3 linked regions of the Macaca fascicularis genome follow. The protein of the gene in region 1 purifies or fractionates together with the protein of each later gene. This does not show direct contact. Links are inferred from orthologs where the notes say so. Each region holds a gene or a part of one and is shown in the gene's direction. Other genes may lie near its edges.

Evidence for each region.
Region 2: the proteins of OSBPL11 (region 1) and VAPB purify together in Homo sapiens (affinity purification with mass spectrometry; 4 studies listed by BioGRID and IntAct, counting the BioPlex papers as one, with this or other methods). This does not show direct contact. The link is inferred for Macaca fascicularis from reciprocal best matches to the Homo sapiens genes OSBPL11 and VAPB.
Region 3: the proteins of OSBPL11 (region 1) and VAPA purify together in Homo sapiens (co-immunoprecipitation; 4 studies listed by BioGRID and IntAct, counting the BioPlex papers as one, with this or other methods). This does not show direct contact. The link is inferred for Macaca fascicularis from reciprocal best matches to the Homo sapiens genes OSBPL11 and VAPA.

What each region holds. Positions count from the first base shown.
Region 1 is NC_088376.1:157,689,928-157,700,160, forward strand, and holds part of OSBPL11 (oxysterol-binding protein-related protein 11), read left to right. Parts: intron 1-5,461; coding exon 5,462-5,960; intron 5,961-10,233. UniProt on the Homo sapiens protein: Plays a role in regulating ADIPOQ and FABP4 levels in differentiating adipocytes and is also involved in regulation of adipocyte triglyceride storage. Weakly binds 25-hydroxycholesterol. Interacts with OSBPL9 to function as lipid transfer proteins.
Region 2 is NC_088384.1:114,453,059-114,464,053, forward strand, and holds the start of VAPB (vesicle-associated membrane protein-associated protein B/C), read left to right. Parts: upstream 1-4,405; 5' UTR 4,406-4,637; coding exon 4,638-4,695; intron 4,696-10,995. UniProt on the Homo sapiens protein: Endoplasmic reticulum (ER)-anchored protein that mediates the formation of contact sites between the ER and endosomes via interaction with FFAT motif-containing proteins such as STARD3 or WDR44.
Region 3 is NC_088392.1:78,299,040-78,308,434, forward strand, and holds the end of VAPA (vesicle-associated membrane protein-associated protein A), read left to right. Parts: intron 1-556; coding exon 557-730; intron 731-4,172; coding exon 4,173-4,331; 3' UTR 4,332-4,941; downstream 4,942-9,395. UniProt on the Homo sapiens protein: Endoplasmic reticulum (ER)-anchored protein that mediates the formation of contact sites between the ER and endosomes via interaction with FFAT motif-containing proteins such as STARD3 or WDR44.

The sequences.
Region 1 (10,233 bases):
AATATTAACCAACCACAAATTAAGAACATCTATACAACATTTAATGGAATGATACTTTTCAGGCAATATTAAAGAGCCTGGTGGCCGGGTGCCGTGGCTCACACCTGTAATTCCAGCACTTTGGGAAGCTGAGGCAGGTGGATCATTTGAAGTCAGGAGTTGGAGACCAGCCTGGCCAACATGGTGAAACCCTGTCTCTACTAAAAACAAAGAAATTAGCCTAGCGTGGTGGCACACGCCTGTAATCTCAGCTGCTTGGGGAGTTGAGGCAGGAGAATCTCTTGAACCCAGGAGTCAGAGGTTACAGTAAGCCGAGGTTGCACCACCACACTCTAGCCTGTGCGACAGAGCTAGATTCCGTCTCAAAAAATAAACAAATAAATAAAGATAGTCTGGTGACTAAACTTCTGTCACAGCTATGTCTTATCTAATAATAACACTTACTTAACAAATATTTACTGGGCCCTTGTTATATTCCAGACACTGTGCTAGCTCTTGGGACAGCAACAAAGAAGATAACCATGGTCCTAACCTTCATATTGTGAATAAGTAATATGCACTTTCCCTACTGTTCATTTTGTTCCTTTTTAAATAATAATATGAAATTAGTGTAAACACAGAAAATTTTAGAAAACCAAAGAAAATCTATCATTTCACTACCCTAACATAACACAGCTCTCACTTTTGGTATTCCTGTCTAATCTTTCTTCACTTTGTCATAGTTTATATGCAGTTTTGTTTTACTTCCTTTTTTCAGTTAATTTTTGTGTGTGTGAAATGTGTTAAACACACAGAAGACTGAATGGAATACATATAAACATTCAAAGAAAAAAGATAAAATGAATACCCTTGTATCTACCTCTGATATTAAGCTATAGAACATTGCCTGAACTTGGAATCTCTGAGTTCCCCTCTCAGTTATAGTCCTCTACTTTTTCTTCCACATAACAATTTACTTTACTTTTGTGTCAATTATCCCTCTACTTTTTGCTATGGTTTTACTGCTTTTTTGTACTCCATAATGATGTTTAGAAAAAAATGAATAGCTAACATAAGCTTAGCATAAGGAAAGGACTGCGTTGCCATTTGTAGAAAACAGCTCCCAGAAAAAGATAAGTTAAACATTTGAGTCTCTGGCTTTAGCTTTTTATGTTATTGAGAAAGTTTAGAAGAGCCCTTTGTAGTGAAATTAGAAGGCAAAGTTGCGAGTCCTGTAAAATATACATCCCAGAGCATTTGGTGTGAGCCAGCTGCAGGAGGAATGTGGGCTGGGGAAGTGAACTGCTCAGTATTCTCAGTTTCAGAGCAAACTGTGACCTACCTCCAACTCTCAGGAATAGATTGAAGTTAGAAGGCATCTGTTGGGGAAATGAGCATCTTCAGCCAATCCAGACAGCAGAACATGGAGAGGAGAGTAAGAATTTCACCAGCGGATAGTCAACACAAGCCAAATACAGATACACTTGGAATCAGTTTCACTAGGCTTTTTTATCCTCAGGTTTGAAAAGATGATACAATGGCAGCATGAAGCGTGTGGATGACAGTCTTCAGTATGTCTGTCTCTTGAGTCACATCACTCTAATCTGGACCAGGATTTCCTTTAGCTTTCTCTTTGGCTAAATCTGTTTACTGTATCCATTTCTTCTTTCTTGGTTGCCTCTCATTTTGTTGGAATACATCCTCCATTAATTTCTCAGGAAGATTTGTAAGAAGAAAATGTGAACATGTGTGTCTGAAATGTCTATGTTGCCTTCATGTTTCATTGCTGGTTTAGATAGAATTTGTTGCTTGTGGCCAGGTGCAGTGGCTCACGCCTGTAATCCCAGCACTTTGGGAGGCCGAAGCAGGCAGATTACTTGAGGCCAGGAGTTCGAGACCAGCCTGGCCAACATGACAAAATCCCATCTCTACTAAAAGTACAAAAATTAGCCAGGCATGGTGGCACATGCCTGTAATCCCAGCCACTCAGGAGGCTAAGGCACAGGAATCACTTGAACCTGGGAGGTGGAGGTTGCAGTGAGCTGAGATCACGCCACTGCACTCCAGCCTGGGTGACAGAGTGAGACTCCATCTCAAAAAAAAAAAAAAGAATTTGTTATTTTTAAATAATTATCTTTTATAATGTCTCCTTGCTACAGGGTTCTAATGAAAAGACTGAAGTCATTCTGATTCCTAATCTTTTGTTTGTGACTTGTTTTGTAGTTTTTCTCTCCAAAATTGTTTAGAATCTTTTCTTTGTCATGTCTTGATATTATGACATTGATGTAGATTTCTTTTATCCGTTGTATCTGGGTACTTGGTGGGCCTTTTCAGTGTGACAACTCATGGTTTTGAGTTCTCTGCAATTTTCTTGAATTATTTCTTTGATGATTGTATTAGGGTTCTCTCGAAGGATGGAAATAATAGGATAGATAGATACATAAAGGGGAGTGTATTAAGGAGTATTGAGTCACATAATCACAAGGTGAAGTCCCATAATAGGCCATCTGCAAGCTGAGGAGCAAGGAATCCAGTCTGAGTTCCCAAACTTCAAAAGTAGGGAAGCCAGCAGTGCAGCTTTCAGTCTGTGGTTGAAGGTCTAAGAGTCCAAAAGTGAAGAACTTGGAGTCCGACGTTTGAGGGCAGGATGCATCCAGCACAGGAGAAAGATGTGGGCCAGAAGACTCAGCAAGTCTAGTCCTTCCATGTTCCCTTGCCAGCTTTTATCCTAGCAGCTGATTAGATGGTGCCGACGCAGATTGAGGGTGGGTCTACCTCTCCCAGTCCACTGACTCAAATGTTATTCCCCTTTGGCAACACCCTCACAGATGCACCCAGGAACATTACTTTGCATCCTTCAATCCAATCAAGTTGACACTCAATATTAACCATCACAATGATTTTTCTTCCAATTTTTTGTTTGTTTGTTTGTTTGTTTTCTCTGAAATCCTTATTATATGGCCATTGGACTTCCTGGTCTGGTCTTTTATTTTTCTCTCCTACTTTTCTTTTTCTCTCTTTGTCTGGCTTTGGTGTTTTGGGAGATTTCTTCACCTTTTATCTTTTAACCCTTCTTTTGACTTTTAATTATTGTTATGTTTTTAAATGTACTGATTTTTTTAAAAAGCATTCTTGTTGTATGTATATAATATCTTCTTAATTCTCTGAAGATATTATTTTTTGTTTTTATTTTTCCCCTCCTTTGAGGTTTCTGTTTCTCCAAATCCGTTTCTTTATTTTGTTCTTTATATTCCTAGTTAGAGGTTTTCTCGGAAATCAGTATTTCTTTTCTGCTCACAATTAAGTTTAGGGAAACTAAAACCTGACTTTAAGCTTCAACACATAGGTGGCGCCTATGTTTTTCATTGTCCCATAATCTGGATGGGCCATTTGTTGGGAAACTTGGTGTCAGTATCATTAGGTTTTTCCTCTAGGTTTAGTCAAATTTCCCAGAAGAAAAATTTTTTCGGCCGGGCGCAGTGGCTCAAGCCTGTAATCCCAGCACTTTGGGAGGCTGAGACGGGCGGATCACGAGGTCAGGAGATCGAGACCATCCTGGCTAACACGGTGAAACCCTGTCTCTACTAAAAAAAAAAATACAAAAACCTAGCCGGGTGAGGTGGCGGGCGCCTGTAGTCCCAGCTACTCGGGAGGCTGAGGCAGGAGAATGGCGTAAACCCGGGAGGCGGAGCTTGCAGTGAGCCGAGATCCGGCCACTGCACTCCAGCCTGGGCGACAGAGCGAGACTCCGTCTCAAAAAAAAAAAAAAATTTTTTTTCATCTCGCACTTGGTGAGTCCAAAAGTAGTTAAAAAGGAGAAGAAGGCTGCATGAGAGAGGGTGTTAATAGCTAGCATTTAGTTTACATGAAGTTATTAAATGCCCTTGTTATGTATCACTTGGTATCCTCTCTCTTAGAATTCCTTGCTATTCTCCAGTCTAGAGAATAGACCACCTTGTTTATCCGGAGGCTAAACCTCTAGACTTTGAGGTCTAAGAGGGTAGTTACTAACAGTGTGGAGTTGGGGGTATGAGTTAGGCATCTAATTGCTTTCCATACAGATTTTACTCAGTTATTTTTATTTTAGCATTTCTGTGAACCCCCAGATCCAGAGGCACCTAGTGCTGTCAGCTCCTGAGCCTTTTCAGGAATCTGTGCATGTTGTAATCTACTGCCTGAGTTTCAGCTTTCTCGTTAGGAACTCTCAAAATTTTGTTGTGTTTTGTCTACTTTCCTGGTATCTCTGGGTTTGTCTTTATATGAAGTTTATTTAATTTCAGTGGAATTTTGGTAGAAAATGAAATTAAGATGCATGTATTCAGTTCACCAACTGAACCTGCAACATCCACTGTCTTTTGTATTATTTATATCATCTTCAAAACCATCTTTTTAAATGACTATAATAGTCATTAAATGAAAGTTCCCTACTTCAGTTAGCTAGAACCATAGTTCAAAATGGAGGTTGTTCTAATTATTTTTTCACATTGCTTTTCCTTCATTCAATTATTTATTTCCTAAGGCTAGATTCTTAGAATAATAAGTACTAGGCTAAATAGTTAAGAGCATCTTAGGGCTCTCGAAAAATATTGCCAGATTTTGCTTTCTCACAGGTTTGAACCATTTTGCAGTGCCTTTCCGAACTCTGCTTTAAGTAAAATACTTAATCTTTCTTACACTTACCTGGTTTTAAGTATAAAAAGTTCTCTTATTGGAAATAGTTCTCTTGTACTTAAGATTAAATATATGTTGCAGTTTTTGCTTCGGTCTGTGATCTCTTTAGTCTGTTCTCAGGGAATGACATTTATTGACTCTTCTCATGTCTTGGTCATTCATCTACAATTTAATTTTAACATAGGAAAGGAGCAAAGGCAGGCTAACATTTACTTTGAGTTTTAATGCTGTTTCCCTGGTGATACTTTTATCCAGTCTAGAAGTTTGAGGATTTTTTTGAAGTTTCTTCTAACCCTCTTGAATTTATGTTTAATCTTGGGCAGGTTTGCATTTCCTTGTAAGAATGCTTTTTTTTTTTTTTTTTTTCCAGATAGGGTCTCACTCTGTTGCTCAGGTACAAGTGCAGTGGCACAGTCATGGCTTATCGTAGCCTCGACCTCCCAGGCTCAAGTGATCCTCCCACCTCAGCCTCCTGAGCAGCTGGGACTACAGGCACAAGGCACCATGCCCAGCTAATTTTCGTATCTTTTATAGAGACAGGGTTCCACTATGTTGCCTCGGCTGGTCTCGAACTACTGTGCTGAAACAGTCCTCCCAACTTGGCCTCCCAAAGTGCTGTGATTATAGGCATGAGACCCTGTGCCTGGCCAAGAATGCTTATTTTTTAATGTGACTAAACACTTTTTCTTTATGACTTTGTTTTTAATACCCATCTAGAATGAAATGTTTTCAGAGAGAGAACAGTTGTCTACAGATATGCTACACATGGATTAAATTTCCCCTCTTTCATTGATTGTCGTTGTTGTTTTAGGTGGTGCTTCCTACATTTATCCTAGAGAAGCGTTCCTTGCTGGAAATGTATGCAGACTTTATGTCTCATCCAGACCTATTTATAGCCATCACTAATGGAGCCACAGCTGAGGACAGAATGATTCGCTTTGTTGAGTACTACCTTACCTCATTTCATGAAGGCCGTAAGGGAGCCATTGCTAAAAAACCATACAATCCTATCATTGGAGAAACATTTCACTGTTCCTGGAGGATGCCAAAAAGCGAGGTAGCATCCAGTGTTTTTAGCAGTTCTTCCACCCAGGGAGTCACAAATCATGCTCCTTTATCGGAGGAGTCTTTGAACCAGGTGGGAGCAGACTGTTATACAGTCAGATTTGTTGCTGAGCAGGTTTCTCATCATCCTCCAGTCTCAGGATTTTATGCAGAATGTACAGAGAGGAAGATGTGTGTAAACGCGCATGTCTGGACTAAGAGCAAGTTCTTAGGCATGTCAATAGGCGTGACAATGGTTGGAGAAGGTAAGTAGAAAAATTATTTTACATATATATATATATTTTTTTTTTTTTCAAGCAGGAATGAAAGTTTATTTAAAAAGGCTTTAGAACAGGAAAGAAAGGATAGTTCGTTTGGAAGAAACCCAAGCAGGCACGTGAAGGTCAAGTGCCTGTTTTACAATTTTTAATATCAAACTACAATCTTAAATTTAGGAACCCTAGATAAATATTAACTATAAGTTTAAAATGTTAAGTTAATTTTTAGCTCCAATTCCTAGAGTGTTCCAGAATGCTTCTTGGGGGGGATGGGAGGAGTATATCTATGAACTAATGTAAATTCTCTTTTTAAATTATTTTTTTCTGATTTTAAATATTTCCTTTCTTTTCTTTTTTTTGAGATGGAGTCTCACTCTGTCGCCCAGGCTGGAGTGCAGTGGCGCGATCTCAGCTCACTGCAACCTCTGCCTCCCAGGTTCAAGCAATTCTTCTGCCTCAGACTCATGAGTAGCTGGGATTACAGGCGCCTGCCACCATGCCACCACACCCAGCTAATTTTTGTATTGTTAGTAGAGACGGGGTTTCACCATGTTGGTTAGGCTGGTCTCAAATTCCTGACCTCTGATGATCCACCTGCCTCGGCCTCCCAAAGTGATGGGATTACAGGCATGAGCCACTGTGCCTGGCGATTTTAAGTATTTCTTATCAAATATTTAGAAAACTAGAAAAGTACAAAGCAGAAAATAAAAGCTTCTGTAATGCCTGCATCCATATATATATATATAATTTAATATTTTATACTTTTTCTGTGTGTGTATATTCAGGACTTTTAGCCTTATAAAATTAGAATTAATAATATATAGTTTTGTGTCCTGCTTTTTAATTAAATATATTTGTTTTCTCATGTCATTAATAAAACATTTTAATGACTGCATAATATTCTATGAAATATATTTTCCATCTTTTATTTAAACATTTCCCTTTATTTGGACATTGAGGTTGGTCCCAAATTTTTATTATTATAAAAATCACAAAAAAATAGGTAAATCTTTTTTTTTTAATGTATTTTTTTTTTTTTTTTTTTTTAAGAAACAGGGTCTTGGCCGGGCGCGGTGGCTCAAGCCTGTAATCCCAGCACTTTGGGAGGCCTAGACAGGCGGATCACGAGGTCAGGAGGTCGAGACCATCCTGGCTATCATGGTGAAACCCCGTCTCTACTAAAAAAAAAATACAAAAAAACTAGCCGGGCGAGGTGGCGGGCGCCTGTAGTCCCAGCTACTCGGGAGGCTGAGGCAGGAGAATGGTGTGAACCCGGGAGGCGGAGCTTGCAGTGAGCTGAGATCCGGCCACTGCACTCCAGCCTGGGTGACAGAGCCAGACTCCGTCTCAAAAAAAAAAAAAAAAAAAAAAAAAGAAACAGGGTCTTGCTCTGTTGCCCAGGCTGAAGTGCAGTAGCATAGTCATAACTAACTGCAGCCTTGACCTACTCGGCTCAAGCCATCCTCCTGCCTCAGCCTCCCAAGTAGCTAGGACTACAGGCATGCACCACCATGCTAGCCTAATTTTTTTTATTTTTCTTTTTAGAGACAGGGTCTCAATATGTTGCCCAGGCTGGTCATGAACTCCTCCTGGGCTCAAGTGATCTTTTGGCCTCTACCTCCAGGCATTAGCCTGTAATATCAGCACTTTAGGAGATGGAGGCCAGAGGTACTATTCATAGAATATTTAGGTGCTATTCATAGAATATTTAAAAATACATACTGATAAAATTTAATTCTACTTCATCAGAAGATTGTAAAAAATTATTTTTGGAAATACAGTGTTTTTTGACCAAGAATATGAAACAAAAACAAAAATCTCCACAGAAATTATTGAAGAGTTAATGAAAATATAATGACAGGAAAAAAACTACCACTTTTATGTTAAAGGAAAATGCTTATGCAAAGAACACTTTGCTCTGAATGTCATTTTACAATGTAAGCATGGCAGCATTTAAGCCTGTCACTCTAATATTTTGAGATTGTGTTTTAGTCATTATGAAGAAAATATCCTCTTTTTCAGTTTTCCCCATTTTTAAGTTCTGTTGTAGTATGTCTTACCAATTTCCAAATAATATTTCAAGTTAATTACAACTTTTATAACATTAGAAAGTACTCTCTCGTGTGTGTGTGTGTGTGTGTGTGTGTGTGTGTGACGTTGTGTAGCTGTGTCACCCAGGTTGAAGTGCAGTGGGGCCATCTCGGCTCACTGCAATCTCTGCCTCCCAGGCTTAGGCCATCCTCCCACCCCAGCTTCCACAGTAGCTGGGATTACAGGCATGCACCACCATGCCCAACTAATTTTTGTATTTTTTTGTAGAGAAGAGATTTTGCCATGTTGCCCAGGCTGGTCTCAAACTTGTGAGCTCAAGTGAGCCACTACACCCAGCTGAAATCATTCATATTTTATTAGTTTAAAAAAAAAAGTTTGGCCGGGCGCGGTGGCTCAAGCCTGTAATCCCAGCACTTTGGGAGGCCGAGACGGGCGGATCACGAGGTCAGGAGATCGAGACCATCCTGGCTAACCCGGTGAAACCCCGTCTCTACTAAAAAATACAAAAAAAACTAGCCGGGCGAGGTGGCGGGCGCCTGTAGTCCCAGCTACTCGGGAGGCTGAGGCAGGAGAATGGCGTGAACCCGGGAGGCGGAGCTTGCAGTGAGCTGAGATCCGGCCACTGCACTCCAGCCTGGGCGGCAGAGCGAGACTCCGTCTCAAAAAAAAAAAAAAAAAGTTTGCTACCCTTCGTTATAAACTCCATAACATTAGCCTTAAGCACTTCATAGATCAATTTGCTTATTTTATAAGTGAAAGAAAAAAGTCTAGAGGTGATGAGACATGTCTAAGGTCATAAAGGTTAAGGAATCGACACATTTAGAATCATATTCTTTGACACTCTTCCAAAGGACAGTTAGTCTTACCAGTTCATGTAACAGTAAGAATCTGGGAATGGTAGCCTCTCACACTACAAGAAAGGAAATACTTCAAGAAGTGAAGAAAAGCTGAGCACAGTGGCTCACATCTGTAATCTCAGTACTTCGCTGAGCTAAAGTGGAAGGATAGCTTGAGCCCAGGAGTTGGAGACCAGACTGGGCAACATAATGAGAGCCTATCTCTGCAAAAGTAAATTTAAAAAAATTAACTGGGCATGGTGGCTTGCTTCTATAATCCCAGGTACTTGGGAGACTGAGGTGGCAGGATCACTTGAGCTCGGGAAATTGAGGCAGCAGTGAGCCGTGATGGTGCCACTGCACACCAGCTGCGTGACAGAGGAGGACCTTGTCTCAAATGTAAAATTTTTTAAAAAAGAAATGGAGAAAAGCATTCATATCTTAACCATGCTTTAATTATAAAGGAGGTATGTAAATAATTTTTTATTGTGCTGCTATATATTAGTGGAATATATTGGAAATTAAATGGTTATCGATATCCGCAACAGAAAGTAAGTAAAAATCAGGAATGGTGCTGGGTGCGGTGGCTCATGCCTGTAATCCCAGCACTTTGGGAGGCCGAGGTGGGTGGATCACCTGAGTTCAGGAATTCAAGACCAGCCTGGCCAACATGGTGAAACTCTGTCTCTACTAAAAATACAAAAAAAGTAGTCAGGTGTGGTGGCGGGTGCCTGTAATCCCAGCTACTTGGGAGGCTGAGGCAGGATAATCGCTTGAACCTGGGAGGCAGAGGTTACAGTGAGCCGAGGTTGTGCCATTGCACTCCAGCCTGGGCATCAAGAGTGAAACTCCGTCTCAAAAAAAAAAAGACTTAAAATATATACAAGTATGTTGTCTGTCATCTGACAGCTCTCATTATGTATAAATATATTATAGCCAGAACCATGTATTTTATGAAATGGTTCAATAAACCTTAATTTATTGTTGCCCTTTGTGAAGACTAAGAGCAATACAAAAAAAAATAGTTGATGTTGCTTTATGTAGGCTACTTTAGAATCTCATTTTGTCTCTTCGCATATCCTAAAAATTGACTATATTAAAATATTTAAACACGTCCCCTTATTTGTGAACATTAAGAAGTGAGTGCTTAACGAGCATTTATTAAAAGGGAGATGCCATAAACGTTTGGACTAGTAGTACATATCCACTTCAATATGTGGTCTGTTGATGACACAGGTAATGAGTTTAGAAGGTTAGTAATGTAGCTTGAGTATCCTTAGTATCCCTTAATTATCTAGTATAGAGTGATTATTCGTTAATGTAGTCCCCTTTTTATAAAACCTTTTAAACCATCTTTAATTAGCATCACTTAA
Region 2 (10,995 bases), on another chromosome or scaffold:
AAAAAAAACAAAACACACACACACACACACACACACACACACACAGGCATCTCATGTGAACGCTCACTCAAAGACATCTACTGCAGCAGCGACTCTATTAATTGAGTGGACAAGATGGCATATTCTGCAGACAACAGTTACCCTTTCCCGCAACTGTGCTATTGTGTGCTCAATGAGCTTATTTACACAGAGGTCATGGTGGCAGGTGTGATGGCTCTGTATAGGCTTAGGAACGTGGGCTTCCCCTTACCAAAGTGACCTGGCAGAAGAGACCAACACTAAAGCTCTGTTATGGCACCATTCCCTAGGGGAGGGCAGAGGAGCTGGGAATCAGTGTTAAAAACCTATAAATGTGGCCAGGCACAGTGGCTCATGCCATTAATCTCAGCACTTTGGGAGGCTGAGGTGAGTAGATTGCATAAACTCAGGAGCTCGAGACCAGCCTGGGCAATATGGTGAAATCCCATCTCTACAAAACATTCAAACATTAGCCAGGTGTGGTGGTGTATACCTGTAGTCTCAGCTACTCGGGAGTCTGAGGTGGGAGGATGGCTTGAGCCCGTGAGGTAGAGGCTGCAGTGAGCCAACATTACACCACTGCACTCCAGCCTGGGCAACAGAGGGAGACCCTGTCTCAAAAAAAAAAAAAAAAAGAAAGAAAAAGGAAAAAAGCACAACCTATAACTACTTGGATATGTAAAAGAACAAAATAGAACTTATAGACTTTAAAAAAATAACAAACAAAATGAAAAACTCCTGAAACAGGTTTATCAATAGCCTAAGAGATAATTAGTGACTAGAAGAAAGATCTGAAGAATGATCTGGAACATGGAACATAAAGATGACAGATTAAGATGTGATAGAGAGGTTAATAGACATGGAGAAGGGTATGAGACTTCTGTTTCTTTCACAATCCACAGTAATAAATGTATTTTACTTGTTACTCCATAAATATGTGTATATTAATAAATACAACTGAAACAAAAGTTTCATGAAATAATACAATACACTCCAATATATTCTATTTCATTCTTTCTCAACACTGGTAACAATCTACTACATTGCTTTTATAAGCCACTATTGGAAAACAACCTACAGTTTGAAAAATATTAGTTGAATAACTACTAATCACACTACAAGATGTAAAGAGTGAGAGAATAAGGTTGAGATAACATTCATTTTTATTTTTTCTTTCTTTGAGATAGGATCTCACTCTGTTACCCCAGGCTGGAGTGCAGTGGTATAATGGTTCACTGCAGCCTCAACCTCCTGGGCTCAAGTGCTCCTCCCACCTCAGCCTCCTGAGTAACTGGGACTACAGGCATGCACCACCAGGCGTGGCTAGTTTTTTTTTTTTTTTGTATTTTTTGTAGAAATGGGGTTTTACCATGTTGCCCAAGCTGGTCTTGAACTGGATTCAAGCAATCTGCCTGCCTTGGCCTCCTAAATTGCTGGGACTACAGGCGTGAGCCACTGTGTCCATCCAATATAACATTTAAAAGAGATATTCTCACATATGATACAACATGGATGAACTTTGGGGACTTTATGCTAGGCGAAATAAGCCAGTCACAAAAGGATAAATATTGTATGATTCTGCTTACAAGAAGTACCTAGACTAGTCAAATTCATAGAGGCAGGATGTGGAATGGTGGTTGCCAGGGGCTTAGGAGAGGGAGCATGGGGAATGACCGTTTAAGGGGTACAGAGTTCTAGTTTTGCAAGATGAAGAGAGTTCTAGAGATGGATGATGGTGAGGTTGCACAACAATAGGAATGTTAATACCACTGTATACTTTAAAAAGATAGTAAATTTTATGTTATGTGTATCTTACCACAATAAAAAAGTAAAATTAAATTAAAAAAAAAAAGGTATTGTCTGAGAGTTTTCAAGAATAATGAAAGACACCAATCACCAAATTCAGAAAGCCCAAAGAATTCAAGGCAGAATAAATAAAAAGATACAGCATGAGCTGGGCTTTGTGGCTCACGCCTGTAATCCCAACACTTTGGGAGGTCGAGGTGAGTGGATTACCTGAGGTCAGGAGTTTGAGACCATCCTAGCCAACACGGCGAAGCTCTGTCTCTACTAAAAACACAAAAATTAGCCGGGCGTGGTGGTGGGTGCCTGTAATCCCAGAGACTCAGGAGGCTAAGGCAGGAGAATCGCTTGAACATGGGAGGCAGAGGTTGCAGTGAGCTGAGATGGCATCACTGCACTCCAGACTGGGGGACAGAGCAAGACTCCGTCTCAAAAAAAAAAAAAAAAGATACAGCACGGTAAAACTGTAGAACATGAGAAGAGGGGGAAAAGACCAACAACCTATGAGGGAACGATGTAAGATTGTCACTGGACTCCTGAGGAGCAATGAGGGGGAGCAGGCAAACAGTGGATGGCAATCAACTGTGCTGAGAGAGGACAGCTGTCATTCAAGCAAGGAAGCCAAAACATCTTTCAAGAACAAGGACAAGGCCAGGTGCAATGGCTCATGCCTGTAATCCTAGCACTTTGGAGGCTGAGGCTGGAGGATCACTTGAGCCCAGGAGTTTGAGACCAGCCTGGGCAACATAGTGAGATTTTACAGAAAATAAAGAAAATTAGCCTGGCATGGAGGTGCATGCTTTTAGTCTCAGGTACATGGGAGTCTGAGGTGGGAGGACTGCTTCAGCCTGGGAGATACAGGCTACAGTGAGCCATGATCATGCCACTGCACTCCAGCATGGGCAACAGAGCAAGACCTCATCTCCGAAAATAAATAAATAAAAAACAACAAAAGACAAAAACGAATGCATTTGCAGACGAACAGAAACTGAGAGGGTCTGCACCAACAAACCTACAAAAAAGTAAAATTTAAAGGATTTACTTCAGGCAAAAGGAGAGTGATCCTGTTCATGAAAGCTAAGATGCAAGAAGAAGAATAAAAATGGTAATTGTGTGGCTGAATCTAAATTAATGTTGACTGTATAAAACAATTTAATAATGTCTCCTGGGGTTAAAATGGCAAAGGTTAAACTTAACATACACTACATTAAGGTGTCTAATTTAGAGGATGGGTGATTAAAGTACTCCGAAGTCTTCATATTTTAAGGAAACAGGGTAAAGACATTTTTACAAATATTTAAACATACTGGACTTTCACAAGGTAAGCATGCATGCCCAAAATTTTCAAGTAACCACTAAAACTTAGAAATAGAGTATGTAGGTGAAGAAAACAAGAATGAGAATAAAAATAAACCCCAAAGAAGAAAGGGGAAAAAAAAAAGAAAAACAAAACAGGCAGGACAAGTAGAAATAACAAAATACGATGGTAGAAATAATTCCAGATATATTAGTAAATATAATAAATGTAAATGGACTAAATGCTACAGTTAAAATACAAAGATTATTCTTCCAAGAAACCTGTTTATCATGAAAAATTTCAAGTATACAGAAAAGTGGGAGAAACAGTACAAGAAAACCATGTACCTGCGATGTCAAGTCAGCCATTGTTAGCAATTTGCCATGTTTGTTTCACCTATATTGGTATGTATAGGAGACTATTAAGAACACCTATTTTACTTTCACAGTGAACATGATATAATGAAATACAATTTAAACGGTAATCATGATGTAGAGTATCCATTTTTGAGGTCAAGCAGATCTGGATTCTCCAGCAATTTTTAATTATTTAACTTACTTGTGTGGTTATTTATTCAAAATGTCTCTTCACTAGGCTACAGTAAAAGGATTGGAATCAGGTTAGCTTTTCTGATCATTGTATTTCTAAATATTTATTGCATAAACAAATCGAATTTACTAGTAAAAATTCAGCACAGTGCCAGTTGCCTAATAAACATTTAACGTAGAGTAGCTTGTATTTATTGTAGCTGCTGTTGTCATTGGAAGCATTCAGCAGAGTGATACGAAATAAGCAATAATTGGTAGTTTATTATATTTATAATTATTATTTACAAGACGTCACAGTGCTTAGCCCATATCACTCACCCATAAACATCATGTTTATACTAAGTACTTTGACTATTATTCAAAGTCTCTAACAGTGCCTGGCACTACATAAGCAAGAGAAAAGTGGAAGTTTATTCTAATTGTTGTTACTGAATAAAGCATTTAACACGAGGCTGGCCCCCAGCGGACCCTTAATAGTTTTCGCGGCTGCAGTCGTAGCCGGACTACAAACCCCGCCTCCTGAGCAGCGCGAAGCCCCGCCCCTTGCTGCCCTGCAGTTCCGCCCCCGTGGCTTGTACCGCGCCTGCGCACTGTCCCGGGTGGGGCTCCACGCGCGCAGCTTTAGTCCCCGCCCCTGGAGCTGGCGGCGCAGGGCGCAGCTTCCCGCCGCCCGAGCGGGCCAGCCTGCTGCGTGCGTGCGTGTGTACGCCTGTGCGTGCGTGCGTGCGTGCGTGCGTGCGTGCGTGCCGTCAGCTCGCCGGGCACCGCGGCCTCGCCCTCGCCCTCCGCCCCTGAGCCTGCACCGCGTAGAACGACCCCCCCCAGCGCGCGCACCCCGTCGAAGACCCTCACCCGTGCCCCGACTGGTCCCCCCTTTTTTGTAAAACTTAAAGCGGGCGCGGCATTAACGCTTCCCGCCCCGGTGACCTCTCAGGGGTCTCCCCGCCAAAGGTGCTCCGCCGCTGAGGAACATGGCGAAGGTGGAGCAGGTCCTGAGCCTCGAGCCGCAGCACGAGCTCAAGTTCCGAGGTAAGCCCCAGAGGCCGCCACCTTCATGCTTGCGGCCCCCGCCCCAGTGCTGGAGGGACGGAGTCCGGCGCGGCGGGTGACGTCGGCCCTCGTCCCCACCCCGACGGCGCTGTCGTGGGGGCCGGCGAGGCCGGGCCGGGCCTTGGCGCTCAGCGCGCGCCCCAGAAATGCGCGGAGCGGCCGGGACCCTAGAGGACTGGTGCAGGAGCTAGGGCCTGTGCCTCCTCCCCGACCCCCAGCCTCCTGGGACTTGCCTTCGAGGCACTTGTCACTTTGCCTTGTAACTTAGTGACCAGTTTGTGATCACTTTAGTGTGAACCTCCGCCGCTGCTGTTGCCTGGAAGGTTCTTCCCCTGCTCTGTGACAGTGTTGACCTCAGGGTTTAGTTGAGGTATCACCTGCCCAGAGAGGCCTGCTGTGGCCACCCAGCCCACCGTGCACACCTGCTCTCCTGCTGTCCCCATTCTGTCACTGTTTCGTGGTCAGCACCGCACTTTTCGTACTCAAAATCACTGTTTCAACACTAGAAAGGAAACTGCATGAGGACAGGCTCTTGTCAGTTTGCTGCTGTGTACCCAGCACACATTAGACGCCTAGGAAATACCTGTTGAACCAACAAATGAACCTCCTCAGGCCTTCTGATGGGATTGGTCCCATTTTCCGTTCACTGCCTCCCTCATGGTGCCTCCTGGATGCAGCTGAGGGAGGCTGCCAAGGTGCTGGGATCCTTTTGCTCCGCAGAGCTGCCTGGAGCAACACCTGCGGTGGTGGGAAACCATGACCCTGGTTTCTCCCAGACACTATTATCTCTGTAATTTGTGCCTTTATGTTTTCTATGTTGTTCTTTTTTTTTTTTTTTTTTTTCCTACCTTCACCAGGGCCACGAGGTAAAAGGTCTGACATGCTCATTCCTTCTTTTTGCTTGTATCCAGTGATGTGGAAGGCACTAGGGAGGTGATGGATGAACAAGACAGACAAGGCCTCTGCTCTCAGAGAGCTTAGCTTCCGACGAGAACAGACAAACCAGCACACAACATCGTTACAGATACGTGGAAGGCCCTGGGGAGGTGATGGATGAACAAGACAGACAAGGCCTCTGTTCTCATAGAGCTTACCTTCCGACGAGGACAGGCAAACCAGCACACGTGATCTTTGCAGATAGTGCTAAGTGCTGTGTAGGAAATGGAACAGTTTGACTCCATGGAAGTTTACTGTAGATTGGAAGGTCAGGTCTCCACTATATCGCTAGCAGCGGGCTCACAGTAGATGTTCAGCTGGTATTAATGAATGGCCAGAGGTTCTCCAGTTTATATGTCTTATTGGGAAGTAGTGTAGGGTAACTTATGCAAAGTTACCCAGTTGGCAAGTGGTACATTTGAACCCAGACTTCAGAGTTCACGCTGTTAACCGTTATGCTGTCTGATCGCTGGGAAATACTCCAGAACGGTGGCTGTCACTTTGCCTTCCAAGTTAACAATGTGAAATAACTCTGAATTTACAGAGAACCAAAGGCTTTCCAATTAAAATGAAAAAAAACAAAAAAACCCCACCAAACCTACCGGGGATCGAAATTCCAGGATAGTACTTGAGGTTTCATGATGCGCTCATGGCTTTCTGGGAACGCCAGATTGGAAAAGGAGGCCAGGTGGCTAAAGTGGTGAGCCATGGTTTCCACTTGAGTTGTCTGAAGTTCTTTTTCTGTCTGGGAGGCCTGGCTTGGCTTCTCCTGAGAATTGGTGGGTTCATTCGGTTAGTCCACAAACATTTACTGAGTACCTGATCTGTGTGTCAGATACCCGGAGAAGCCAAGTCATATCAGCTGTACTCTCCCATTTTCCCTCAACCTCCTCCCAGTACTTTAGGGAAGGGGACAGATGAGAACAACAGCCAGGACAGGACAATGATGTAGGGTAGTTCAGAGTGCCCCAGGAGCATTGAGGAGGTCAGCTCCTGAAGGAGGTGTCATTTGAGCTCAGTTATAAAGGTTGAGTAGAAGAAGGCTCAAAGAAGGAAAGGGTGAGAACATTTCAGACAGAGGAAATTGCATGCACAGAGGCACAAACACTGAGATGACTGGGCTCCTTTGGGATGCCCAGTAGTTCTTTTTTTTCTTTTTTCTTTTTTTTTTTTTTGAGATGCAGGTCTTACTCTGTCACCCAGGCTAGAGTGCAGAGACGCGCTGTCTCACTGCAACCCCCGCCTCCCAAGTTCAAGCGATTCTCCTGCCTCAGCCTCTTGAGTAGCTGGGATTATATACAGGCGTGTGCCTCTACGCCTGGCTAAAAATGTATTTTCAGTAGAGACGGGGTTTCACCATGTTGGCCAGTTTGGTGTCAGACTCCAGACCGCAAGTGATCTGCCCTCCTTGACCTCTCAAAGTGGTGGGATTACAGGCGTGAGCCACTGTGCCCAGCCACCACTAGTAGTTGTGAATGACAGCAACAAAGAAAATTTGTTGTGGTTGCCCGGCAAGATGGCAGACAAGGCTGGTGAGTAGACAAGAGTCAGACCTCAGTCCCTTTATGCATAGATGCAGCCAGTGTCCAAGTTAAAATTGTGTTGCTTCTCCTTGAGCAGTCCTTCCTTGCATTAACTTTCTGAAAACCCCCAAATCCCAGTACAAACTCTGTTGTCTAATAGGATGTTATGGAAAGAGGCACTCATTTGAGAAAATTCAAGATTTTGTTCAGTTGTTTTACTGAAAGATGTGTGACCTTAGGCCACTTCACTCCTCAAAGCCTGGGGTCATTCTTTGGTCAATGGGGATGATGCTCATGTCCACCTTGCCTCTTGTAGAAAGTGTTTAAAAGGAATGACATGGCTGTTAGCGGCTTTGTAAGTGCATAGTACTATACAGAGATTAGACAACCACTTAACCACTTAAGTGGTTTCATCACTTCTGTACCTGAAAGGTGTGGCAGAGAAGAGGGATCATTCTGGCCCTGGATTGGCCAAAGTAATAATGCCAAAGTCACTGGATATTTTTGCTGGGGAAGTGGTCCAAGAGAGATGGTACCAAATTGTTGAAGGCCTCTGGCTTATAACTTTAGAAGAGACATCTGTGTGTGTTTTTAAACGACGTCATGAGTTGTGTTGTTTGTTTTAAACTGAATGCTAAGACAGTACAATTAATAGAGACTCAATACCCTGACTTACTTAGAGATAATTCATTTCAGGATGAAAACTGGCACATTTAACTGGTTTCTTCCAGGTTACTCAGGGTGATGACTCTGATTTCTGGTGGTTCACCTAGATGAACCTCTGAGCTAACTACTTAAGAAGGTAATAACTAAAATGCCCATTCAAAGGAAAAATTATCTTTTCAATGCAGCCTAAGTTGATCATATGGGATTGTATATTGTCAGACTCTTTAATCTTGGGAATTTTGTGTGGTATATTAAATTTAAGGATGTTACAGAAGAAAAAACGCAAATTTATATGACCTTATGCAGTTTTATAGGAAGTACTGTGCTGCATCATAAATATGGAAAGGACAAAGCCTGGTGGCTTCCTGAAAGAAGCATGACACAGGAGGATTTGCCTAGACTTAAGATTGATTTTCATGAGATATTTTTAGTAAGTGAACATTAAGCTCCTTCAGACTAGGGGTATCTTTCTGAGAGAGTAAAAGTAAATGTTTTTGTTTTTTGGCAGGGTCTTGCTCTGTCACCCAGGCTGGGGGGCAGTGGTGCCATCATAGCTCACTGTAGCCTCAAACTCCTGGGCTCAAGAGATCCTCCTGCTTCAGCCTCCCTAGTAGCTAGGACTACAGGTGCCACCATTCCTGGCTAATTTTTGGATTTTTTTTTTTTTTTTTTGAGACGGAGTCTTGCTCTGTCGCCCAGGCTGGAGTGCAGTGGCTGGATCTCAGCTCACTACAAGCTCCGCCTCCCGGGTTTACGCCATTCTCCTGCCTCAGCCTCCCAAGTAGCTGGGACTACAGGCGCCCGCCACCTCGCCCGGCTAGTTTTTTTTCTATTTTTTTAGTAGAGACGGGGTTTCACCGGGTTAGCCAGGATGGTCTCGATCTCCTGACCTCGTGATCCGCCCGTCTCGGCCTCCCAAAGTGCTGGGATTACAGGCTTGAACCACCGCGCCTGGCCTAATTTTTGGATTTTTTTATAAAGGTAGAGTCTTGCCATGTTGCCCAGGCTGGTCTTGAATTCCTGGCCTCAAGCAGTCCTTCCGCCTCGGCCTCCCAAAGTGCTGGGATTACAGGCATGAGCCACTGCACCCAGCCTAAATGTGTGTTTTCTTTTATATTTCTTTTTGTCTTTTTCACTAAGTCATAGGAGTTTTTTTTAAATTGTCACTCTTTCTGTTGATCTCAGTTCTTCCAAGGCCTAAATGTTTCCATGCCATCTCCTCACTCTGAGATCCCACTTGTTGTCCAGCTTAAAGAGAGCTTTCCAAATGAGTCACTTTCAAGGCATTATGTAGCGCTCTTCTGTCATTCTCTTCTCCCTCCCCTTCCATGAGAGTCCGTCTGTGGTAAATAGTATGTCTTACATATTTTTTGGTCATAGTTCAAGACTCTAGATCATTCTTTATACCCTAGCCCGTTCCCCTAGCAATGATATTGTCGCATGGAAGTGGTCTGTTGAACATCCATACTCACTAGGTTAAGGTTTTTTTTTTTTTTTTGAGACAGAGTTTTGCTCTTGTTGCTCAAGCTGGAGCGCAATGGCGTGATGATATTGGCTCACCGCAACCTCCGCCTCCTGGGTTCAAGCACTTCTGCCTCAGCCTCATGAGTAGCTGGGATTACAGGCACGCACCACCACGCCCGGCTAATTTTGTACTTTTAGTAGAGACAGGGTTTCTCTGTGTTGGTCAGGCTGGTCTCGAACTCCCGGCCTCAGGTGATCTGCCCGCCTTGGCCTCCGAAAGTGCTGGGATGACAGTTGTGAGCCACTGCACCCGGCCAGTTAACATTTAAACATAACTGGACGCATTTACTTTTGCTTTACTCCTTGACTGAACCAATGGCCTTCAAGAAGTCTTAGATAGTCCTGCCGTTAGGGATATCAGATGGGAGGGCACCAATGAATCGGTGTAGTTGAGTACCACTTTTCGGAGAAAATAGAAACTTGGACACTGAATGATAGTTTAAAGATGCTGTTTTGTTTTGTTTTGTTTTTTTGTATAGGAAAAGCTGGCTTAGACTCTTTAGTTCAGCCCTTCAAGTTGATGTGTAATTTAAGATTGTTTAGGAAGTTACAAAATCGAAAACCCTTTGGATCTACAGTTCATTCAGTGCAGTAATTATCTTTCATATGCCAAGTACAACATTAATTCTTTAACTTTAGCACAGCACTGATTTTCTTAACATGTCCTGATCACACAGAGCAGGCTGTGTTTTACAGCACAACAAAATGTCACCCATGTGCTGAAGATTCTTCATGGTAGTAGTTTAGATCCATCCTGAATAGATTATCTTCGTTTATTTAATTATTAAGTAGCTTGCTTAACAAAAGTGGCATTAAATTTAACTTGAGTCAAACTTAAATCTTCATAGATAGTACCATTTACTTCTGAAATCTTGTTCCTGGGAGAACAATGTGGACTGGAAGTTAGTTTACTTTTATCCACCTATTCACTCCCTTTTCTTGACAGTTAACTCCTTAGGGGGAAAAATGTATAGTTCTTGACCATGTGCTTATATTTGTAAAGCAATGATGTTTCCTGAATGTGAGTGGTTGTGACATAAATCACAGTTATCTTCATAATTACCTGGGAGCTTTTCATCCAAGTGTGGATGTACTAAAATAGTCTGAATTGATGCTTATTAAAGAGCTGAAGTCTTAAACATTAACACTGTCTGTTATTTATTAAATTGTACGTATGTTTCCTTCAAATACTGAAGGCAAAATACTGAGAACGTTGACCCTGTGTTATTATTGCTAAGTAGTTGAAAATTAGGGGAGGAGTCAAGGGAGTATATTATATTGGTTAACACTCAAATACTGCTCCTAGGCTTGATTTTTAGAACCAAAACTTGAATATTTACATAAAGAATTATTTCCAAAAGTGTCTTTTTTTTTTTTTTTGAGATGGCATCTTGCTGTGTTGCCAGGCTGGAGTGCAATGGCACAATCTCGGCTCACTGCAACCTCTGCCTCCCGGGTTCAAGCGATTCTCCTGCCTCAGCCTCCTGAGTCGCTGGGACCACAGGCACGTGCCACCATGCCTAGCTAATTTTAGTATTTTTAGTAGGGATGGGGTTTCACCATGTTGGCCAGATGGTCTCGATCTCTTTACCTCGTGATCCGCCCACCTCGGCCTCCCAAAGTGCTGAGA
Region 3 (9,395 bases), on another chromosome or scaffold:
ACTGTGATGTTGAATCACGTGGATTAAAGCAAACAGCATTACTAAGATGATAATAGAAGTTAGCTTTTTTGGCATGTTTTTTCTTAGGTAGTTTCTAATTTTATTGGAATGATTGCAATAATATCCCCCTACGCCCCAGAACCTTATTTGAATTGCAGAACCAGAGCATGGAAAATGACCTTCATATTTGGATTTTGTTGACGTCAGTCATTCAGCATACTTGGATTGAATAACTACTCTTGACCAAAGTGCTGGTTTTAGGGGTAAATACAAAGAGAGATGGCTCTTGCTTTCCCAGCCTTTGAAGTGTTATAGGAAAGAACTTGAACAATAATTATTAAGATACATAATAAAGTGCTATGGTAGACGTACATGCCAGCGGTTATGGGAATAGAGGGAGTGGGCTCGTTATTTAGACTAATCTGACTGCTGGCATGTACTGATTTAGGCCTTTTAAAGAGTTTTTCATAAACAAAGATGTAGAATTTATGTTTTTGTTTGTTTAAAACCTGTAAGAAGATTTGGTAAAAAAAATCTCAATATCTTTGTAATACAGAATGACATGGAACCTAGCAAAACCGTTCCACTGAATGCATCTAAACAAGATGGACCTATGCCAAAACCACACAGTGTTTCACTTAATGATACTGAAACAAGGAAACTAATGGAAGAGTGTAAAAGACTTCAGGGAGAAATGATGAAGCTGTCAGAAGAAAATCGACACCTGAGAGTAAGTTCTGTTGGTTGAAAATAAGTTGATTTAAATGAAGGTATAGGACATGTGAGTGTTATTAGGCCATTTTAGCAATTAGTTTTTAAATTTATCCTTGGTCAGTTCTTTCTTGTTTTCCCCAATTTGATTATGTCCTGACCTTTGCTCCCCACCCTACTCCTCTCTTAAAAGTCTTCCTGTGGTTTCTCATTGCCACAAGTTCCTTACCTTAGCACACATTCTAATCATTTGTGATCTGGCCTGCAGCATTGCCAGCTTCAGCTCTTGTTTCTCCTGTCCTTCCCATTTTGTGCCCCAGTCACACTGAACTAGGATTGTGTTGTCCCACATCATAGCCATTAGTCACCTAGGACTGTTGAGCGCTTGAAATGGGATTTGTTCAAATTGAGCTGTGCTGTTGAGTGTAAAATACTGATGTTGAAGAGTTAGTACAGAAAAAGGTAAATTTTTCTTTTTTTAATGGTTACATACTGAAATAGTAGTTTGGGTATATTGGGTTGAATTGAATATATTAAAATGAATTTTACACATTTCTTTTTACTTTTTAAATGTACTATTGGAAAATTTAACGTTACATATGGGGTCACATTTGAAGCTCACATATTGGCGTGGGACAGCGTTGGGCTGGAGTATGCTGGAGAAGCATCTGTTTATCACCCCTCTTTCGCTTTAGTATCAGCTCTTCACTGTGACTGGAAAGGCTCAGAACCCTGTCCCTCCCGACACAGCACATACACATATTAATGTCTTGCTACTATATTCTTGTTGATTTTTCAGTATAGCGTTTGCTGGGACCCTCTCCAAAAGAAAAAAAAATCGATTTGTCCTGTCTGCTTTGTGCCACCACTATGCCGATTGCATTCTACTGCTCTTACTTGTTAGAGGCCTTTCTCCCTCTAGTGGGCAGTAATTTCCTTGGGGACAGGGGCAGTGTTTGATTTCTCTCTGCATTCACCGTACATGCGTGTAGTAGTCATATATTTGATTGAATAAATGGATGGTGAAGGAGGACCGATTTGAATATGTGTGAAATTTATGAATAATACTTGTCTTTGACAAGTAATTGTTTCAAGACCTGAATTCCTATATGTTGCTCTTTAGGCTTTGTCTGAAGCTCTTTGCAGCAACGTAGATGATACAAAAATATATGTAACTAAAATAAGCTAAATGATGGGAGTTATTTGATTATTCCTTTTGTTAGGTGTATATAGGAACTGCACTCTGAACACTGTATCTTAAGTCGATCTGTGAACTCCTTTGCTGAAATGCTTTTTAAAGTGAATTTTTGTGTCTCTTCATGTTTGATACTTCATAGTACCCCCTTGAGGGGTACCCCTCTGCTTCCAAGTGCTTGTCTGGATAGCGGGAAGAATATCTTTATTTCACACCTACACACCATGGATCTTTTAAAGGATTTTGTTGGTTACTTTTACTTCATCTGCCATGACTTCCATAGTTCTGTTCTTTGATAAAGATGTGCTCCTTAGGGTGCTCAATAGCTTTCTTTCAAAAGCCACTGTTTACCTCTGGCATGGAGGGGAGAGTGTAAACAGTAGGAGTGACAGGTGGGGCAGGTCTGGAAAATAGGAAGAATGAACCAGGGAAGTGAGAGAGACTTTATTCCTGGTTTCTGCTCTTTGTATGCTAATGTTCTGTATGAGATTTTATTTGAGAGATGATTCTGCTGTTGGAAAAGTAAAACAAAAAAGCTGTGCTGGGCACGGTGGCTCACACCTGTAATCCCAGCACTTTGGGAGGCCGAGGTGTGTGGATCACCTGAGGTCAGGAGTTCGAAACCAGCCTGGCCAACGTGGTGAAACCCCTGTCTCTATTAAAAGTACAAAAATTATCTGGGTGTGGTGGCGGGTGCCTGCAATCCCAGCTACTTGGGAGGCTGAGGCAGGAGAATCACTTGAACCTGGGAGGCAGAGGTTGCAGTGAGCGAGATCACACTGTTGCACTCCAGCCTGGGCAATAAGAGCAAATCTCAAAAAAACAAAAAAAATAAAACAAAAACCTTGGAGACCCACTGGCTTACAGAATTTCAGACCCTTTAGCATTTTATACACAGGCCCATCATAATTTTTTGCCATGTTAACTTTCTTGCTCCTGTCTGTTCACTATCCGTTTTAATTCCCCTAGCCCTATGGTTCTTAATTCACACTGCATGTGAATCACCTAGTGAGCTTTAAAAAGTTACAGTTTACCAGGCCTTCCCAAGACCTAATGAATCAGAATCACAGGAGTATCAAAAGTTCTGTAGATGTTTGTGATGTGTAGCTGAAACCGAGAATTACTACTGTTTTTATATAGAACTAATTAGCATGAGACCAAAAAAACCCAACTCCAGAAAATCCAGTAATGCAAATAAAACTGTGCCATTAGGTGTACTCTTTTAGTTAGTGTTTATTTATAAGCACAATAAAACAATCATGGGAGGTAACAGACACAGATAAAGACAACTGCATAGTTAACAGGTAGTAGTATTTTTCCCAAGGTTCACATTGCACACAGTGTCGTAACAACCTCCTGCCTGGAGTGACTTCTGCTTTCTTCTGAGAAACCTTGTCCTCTAAGGACATAGTGCTGTGTGAAGCCATATCAGCAAGGATGAAGCAGCCCACTCTTGACTGGAGGATCTGTCGTTTTGACACAGAGAAGCACCCTCAGTTTCCATTCCAGGTGCAGAGCTTCAGATAAGGGTTTCCTACATACATTTCTCATCTAAATTTGTAGTTCCTGAAGAAACAGTATTCTTTCTCTGCTTTGCAGTCCAGACCTGGTGCTATCCCTTTACACACAGCCCTCTGCTTTGCTTTGAGCTTGTGAAAACACTGTTACTTAAATTTCACGCTAAACCGTTTCCTTCCCCCCAAATTCTGTGACAACCGTATCTGTGTTTTTGGCAAGAATACCCTCTTGTGGCTCTGCTGTTTCGGTTCCTTAGTTGCAGTGGGTCAGTCAACCCAACTGGCAGACCACGGGTCCGGTAGTTTTTGACTGGGCTAGGACAGATGTAACTGATTTTAAATACCATGGGCCGCCTTGGAAGTACTCTTCTTTAATTATGTTTTTAGTGGGATTAAAATAAAAGGTAAATATAGCCATATCTGACTTTTATTTTTTAGGAATACATTTCTCAGCTCCAGTTTTAAAAAATCAGTGTTATTGAGGTATAATTTATATCCCATGGAGACACCCACTGTGAGTGTACAGTTCACTGAAATACAGAACTTTATAACTGTCACTGTAGTTCAGTTTTAGAATGTCCATCACCCCCGGAAAGTTTCCTTATGTGGTTAGCAGTTAATCCCTGTTTCTGTCCCCAGCCATAGGCAACCACTAATCTACTTTCCGTCCCTATAGATTTTTAGCTCCAGTAGTCTCATTAGTATGCTTGTTTTTAAAAACCTCTTTTGTGTGTTTGTTTTTTTCCTAGGATGAAGGTTTAAGGCTCAGAAAGGTAGCACATTCGGATAAACCTGGATCAACCTCAACTGCATCCTTCAGAGATAATGTCACCAGTCCTCTTCCTTCACTTCTTGTTGTAATTGCAGCCATTTTCATTGGATTCTTTCTAGGGAAATTCATCTTGTAGAGTGAAGCATGCAGAGTGCTATTTCTTTTTTTTTTCTCTTGACCAGAAAAAGATTTGTTTACCTACCATTTCACTGGTAGTACGGCCCGCGGTGACCATTTTTTTGTGTGTACAGCGTCATATAGGCTTTGCCTTTAATGATCTCTCACGGTTAGAAAACCCAATAAAAACAAACTGTTCGGCTCCTGGACAAATTGTATAGTACCGATCATCACTAGCAGATGTCAGTTGCACATTCAGTCCTTTATGAAATTCATAAATAAAGAATTGTTCTTTCTTTGTGGTTTTAATAAGAGTTCAAGAATTGTTCAGAGTCTTGTAAATGTTATTTTAATAATCCCTTTAAATTTTATCTGTTGCTGTTACCTCTTGAAATATGATTTATTTAGATTGCTAATCCCACTCATTCAGGAAATGCCAAGAGGTATTCCTTGGGGAAATGGTGCCTCTTACAGTGTAAATTTTTCCTCCTTTACCTTTGCTAATATCATGGCAGAATTTTTCTTATCCCTTGTGAGGCAGTTGTTGACTGAGTTTTTCATCCTTACAATCCTGTCCCATGGTATTTAACATAAAAAAAATAAAACTGTTAACAGATTCTTGCTCGATAGCTTGTCTGTGTCTGTCGTGTTATTGGAGGGGAGTCCACTATATATGGTCACTTGAAATTATGATGCAAAGGTTTGTCTTGCATTGAAACCCTCTCGGATATTACAGTGTTTTTAATTGAAAGTCCTAATTCTGTTCAGGAAAGGAGTTGATTAAATTTTGAGGTACTGCTGGTATTTTGGGAGATTATAACCAGTTTGTTTTCAAGATAACGGAAAATAAGGTCCATGAGAATAGAAGTTATGTGATTTCAGTGAGTTGACGTGTACAGCATGGCTGTGCTCCATCTGATTTTTACCCCATTCTTAAGTTCTGAGAGTATGTTCTCAAGGAAGATTTAACTCTCCTTGGTTTTAAAGTACTTTTTAACCAGCCTAGTAAGTCTTACTACTTTCCATAATATTTCATAATAGTTAAAAGTAGGTGTTTTTTCCTGCCCAATTTGGCACTCAAAATAATGTTCATTATGGAAGTTTGGTAATACTGAGCAAGCCTGTGGAATTTTCTTTATGAAAAATGATTTTGTCCTTTGCAAATGTTAAACCATGTGAAACACATTTTCAGTATAAGTATGTGTTACAGGGTCTGATATTTCCTGCACTTAGATTTGTCCTGTGTCTTCATTTATTCTTACTAGGATAGAAAATGTTGGAATCAGAAAATAGATCCAGTTTTTAGCTACATACGATCTAGTACAAGTGATTTTTTATTCTTAAACATAGGTGTTATTTTTTTAAAAGATGCGCTCTACCCGAAAAGGAAATTGGATTTTAGAACTGGATGTGGTGAAGTATTTTAGGCCCAGATCTGTGTACACATTTTATAGAAGAGTGAAGTATTCTGAAGTATTTTGGTTGCCTTTTCATTTCAACTGTGTTTTGAATTTGTCAGATGATACATACATTGTGTTATTGTGTGCTGTGGTATCTTTTATGTGCTGTGGTATTTTTTTATATCTCTTGCTTGTGTGCAAGTTGCTAAAAAGAAACACAAGTAATGTCTATCCATTACTAGCATGCTATGCTGCAGGTCATATTTCCATTGCTATATGCTTTACTGTTTTTGTGAAAATCCCCCCCTCCCCTTTTCCGGTAACTGGAAAAGCATGCTAAAAGGAGTCTTATATTTTCACCCCATAAATGGAGAATCAGTAATTCCTTGGCTTAAAGCTCTTATGTAATCAATATTATTGGTGATAAATAATCAAGTTTGGTATCTCATAGCGATCTTTTTTTTTAAGAAATGAAGTTCTTGAAAATTTAGCCAAATTCCGTTTTATGGGAATGCTCCTTAGAATTCATTTTGTTCAGTCCCTTTGTTTTATAGTTGAGAAATCTGAGGCCTTACGAAGGTTAAGAGAACTTTCCCCATGTCTCACAGGTAGGTAGAGGCAGAGCTGGAACTAGAAATCTGTTGACTCTAGCTCAGTGTCTTTTCTGATAACTTGAAAATTGTCTTAGTTTGAGAGATGGCTGAAATAATGAACATAAAATGCTATTTATAATAACAAGTATATGTGACATTTCCTATTGTAAGACTACTGCCGGCTTACTGTTGAATAGTTTGGTTATAGTGTTTAGGCTAGACATGCTTCCCACATTGGTAATAAATAACATTACAAAATACAATGTATTTTTAGGTAGGCATTTTATAAAATGCATTATGCCATGGTTGCTTTTGAGATAGATTGTAGTCTGGGTAGCATCTTTAAAATGTATGTGGGCTTAACTGTTGTTCATATCAGGAGATGCTCTGATTGTATAGATGAGACTGTTTCTGTTATTTTTATTGCTGTATGAAATGTGATCAGATTATTTTACTACCAACAGTTATAGTTTGAAACTGTATTAGTTGACTGATAATATGATAATATAGAGATTAAATTGTCTTCATTCCTTACATGTTTAGAAGTTTTTGCTTTATCTCCCTGCTTACTTGTATATGTAAGCATGAGGGAAATACACTGTTGATAATACTGAAATTACAGTCAAGTAACTAAGGCCTTAAGTTCATATGTGACACTGAATGCACTAGCTTCTTTTGTTCTATAACTAATGTACCTTAACTTCCCTCATTCTTGTATTTACAAGATACTAAGAAGTTATGTTCTGAGTGTGTGGTATGTTCCCTTAAAAAAAAATGACACTTGGAAGAAAAATGTATGAAATTCAGAAATTCCGATCAAAGAAAAGTAATTTTCTCTTGTCTTTCTTTCTTTCTTTTTCTTTTTTTTTTTTTGAGACAGAGTCTTGCTTTGTTGCCCAGGCTGGAGTGCAGTGGTGTGATCTCACCTCACTGCAGCTTCTGTCTCCTGGGTTCGAGTGATTCTCATGGCTCAGCCTCCTGAGTAGCTGGGATTACAGATGTGAACCACCAAGCCCGGCTAATTTTTGTATTTCTAGTAGAGACAGGTGTTTCACCATATTGGCCAGGCTGGGCTCAAACTCCTGAATTCTGCCTGCCTCGGCCTCCCAAAGTGCTGGGATTACAGGTGTGAGCTGCCACACCCAGCCAAGAAAAATAATACTCTTAAATATTTAGCTCAGATGTTCACCTAAAGTTGATATTATTTGGTATGGGAATTACTTTTGAACTGTAATCTTTCAGGTGATACCACTTTGAAAACAAGTTTTAACAGTAAGGTAAAAATATAGTTCTTGAGGGTGTATTCCCCACTTGTGATCTTCTGCCACTTTAAAGACATTCAATTAATAGTTTTCCTAGAGCTTTGCATATTCCCATTCACAGATTTTTAAAATTTCATCCTTTATTAGTGGGAAGGATCAATGCTTACCATTTGGAAAGACAAAGATCAGAAGGTAAATAAATTATCTTTATTTTCTAGCTTTAAAGGGAAATTAAACTATTCGTGAATAAACTGTTTAAAAATGTGAAGTGTCCTTTTCCTTTTCACAATACAAAAAATTTCAACAGATTGTGATGGTTTGTGCATTTATATCCTGTTAAGCATTAATAGCTAATCACTGACTGGGACTTGCATTCTGATGGCAGATAGTCTCTTGCTTAGTGAGATAGAGTTAACTGTTTTGTAGTAGGAAGTGAGAACAGCTGATTTTTCATTCCACATTTCATAGCCCACTTTTGGTAGATTACAGCCATGCTTCTTCGCAGAAGCAGTGACATCTTGGGAATGAATGCCCAGCCAGTCCTGGGTTGGTGCAAAGAAGTATAAACATACATCACTAGGGAAAAAGAGTTTGTCTTCCCCTTCTGACACAGTGTGTGCACTTTAGGCAATTTTTGGAAAATATAAAAAATTGCAAATTCTGCCTTTCAGCAGCATCAATTGCTAGGAACATTTCATTCATTTCCCTATAATATTAATGTTCTTTAAGCATAATCACTAATTATAAGTTGTATCCTATTTTTCTCCAACTTAATTTCTGTGGTTTATTGAAAACCAAGTATAAATGTGACTGCAAAAGCATTTTGCTTTGTTTTTATAGTTACTTTCTTGAGGTTATGGACATTTTATAATGTAACACTTGATTGGCCTGGCCTCTTGACAGTTCCCTTCTAGTTATGCATACCCTCCTATTGCCATATTTCTTGTTTTAAAACTCAAGTTTCTTGTTTTCCAGTTGTTCCTATGTATAACACCCATCTTGAAAGAGAGTGTACAGGAAGTTATTCAGATAACTTTTGTAGTGATTTTCAACTATGGCAGTACATTAACTCATGTGATGAGCTTAGGAACATAAAAGATAATTGTTGCTTGAATAGCACCCCCAGAGATACTGACCTAATTAGTCTGGGGTGGAGACCTGGCATAGTAGTTTTTTTCAAGCTCCAATCGTTGGCCAGGCAGTTGCTTTACATAGGCTTTTAAATGCTAAAGGAAGATACGAAGTAGATTTAATTAAGACTTTACTTCAACAATACAGGGGAACTTAGAATACTTACTTTTCTTTAAATTGCAGGAGTCACTGTTAGGTATTGCTTAATACAAAAGCTTTGCCTGTCAAGTTAGGATTGCTGGAATACCACTAAAGATTTTTGACTTGTGAATAAATGAGCTGTCAGCGCCAAAATGCGATTTGAGAAATGTTGTGGGCTTCAGTATTAATTGCCGTTTTGCTGACACCCAGTGTACCTACCTACCTGAGAAATTCATTTTGTCCCTTATGTATTTCTCAAAGCAAAAGGTGGTTTTCAAGTATAATGTCGTTTTCAGCATGCTTATTACTTAGTTTTACGTCATCTCATTTCGTCATCACTGATATCTTGTGGAATAGATACTTATCTCCATCCTATGGAATAGGGGAGACAGGTTTAGACAGGTTCAGTTTGCTCAAGTCTGCACAGCTGTAAGTAGCAGAGAAAGTGGGATCTAGATGGTCTGATCGTAGAGCCCATGCTCCTAACCATTGTAATCTACCATATGAAGGAAATAGCTTGTGTCCTGGTCCAAGTCAAATACTGACTCCTCACAAA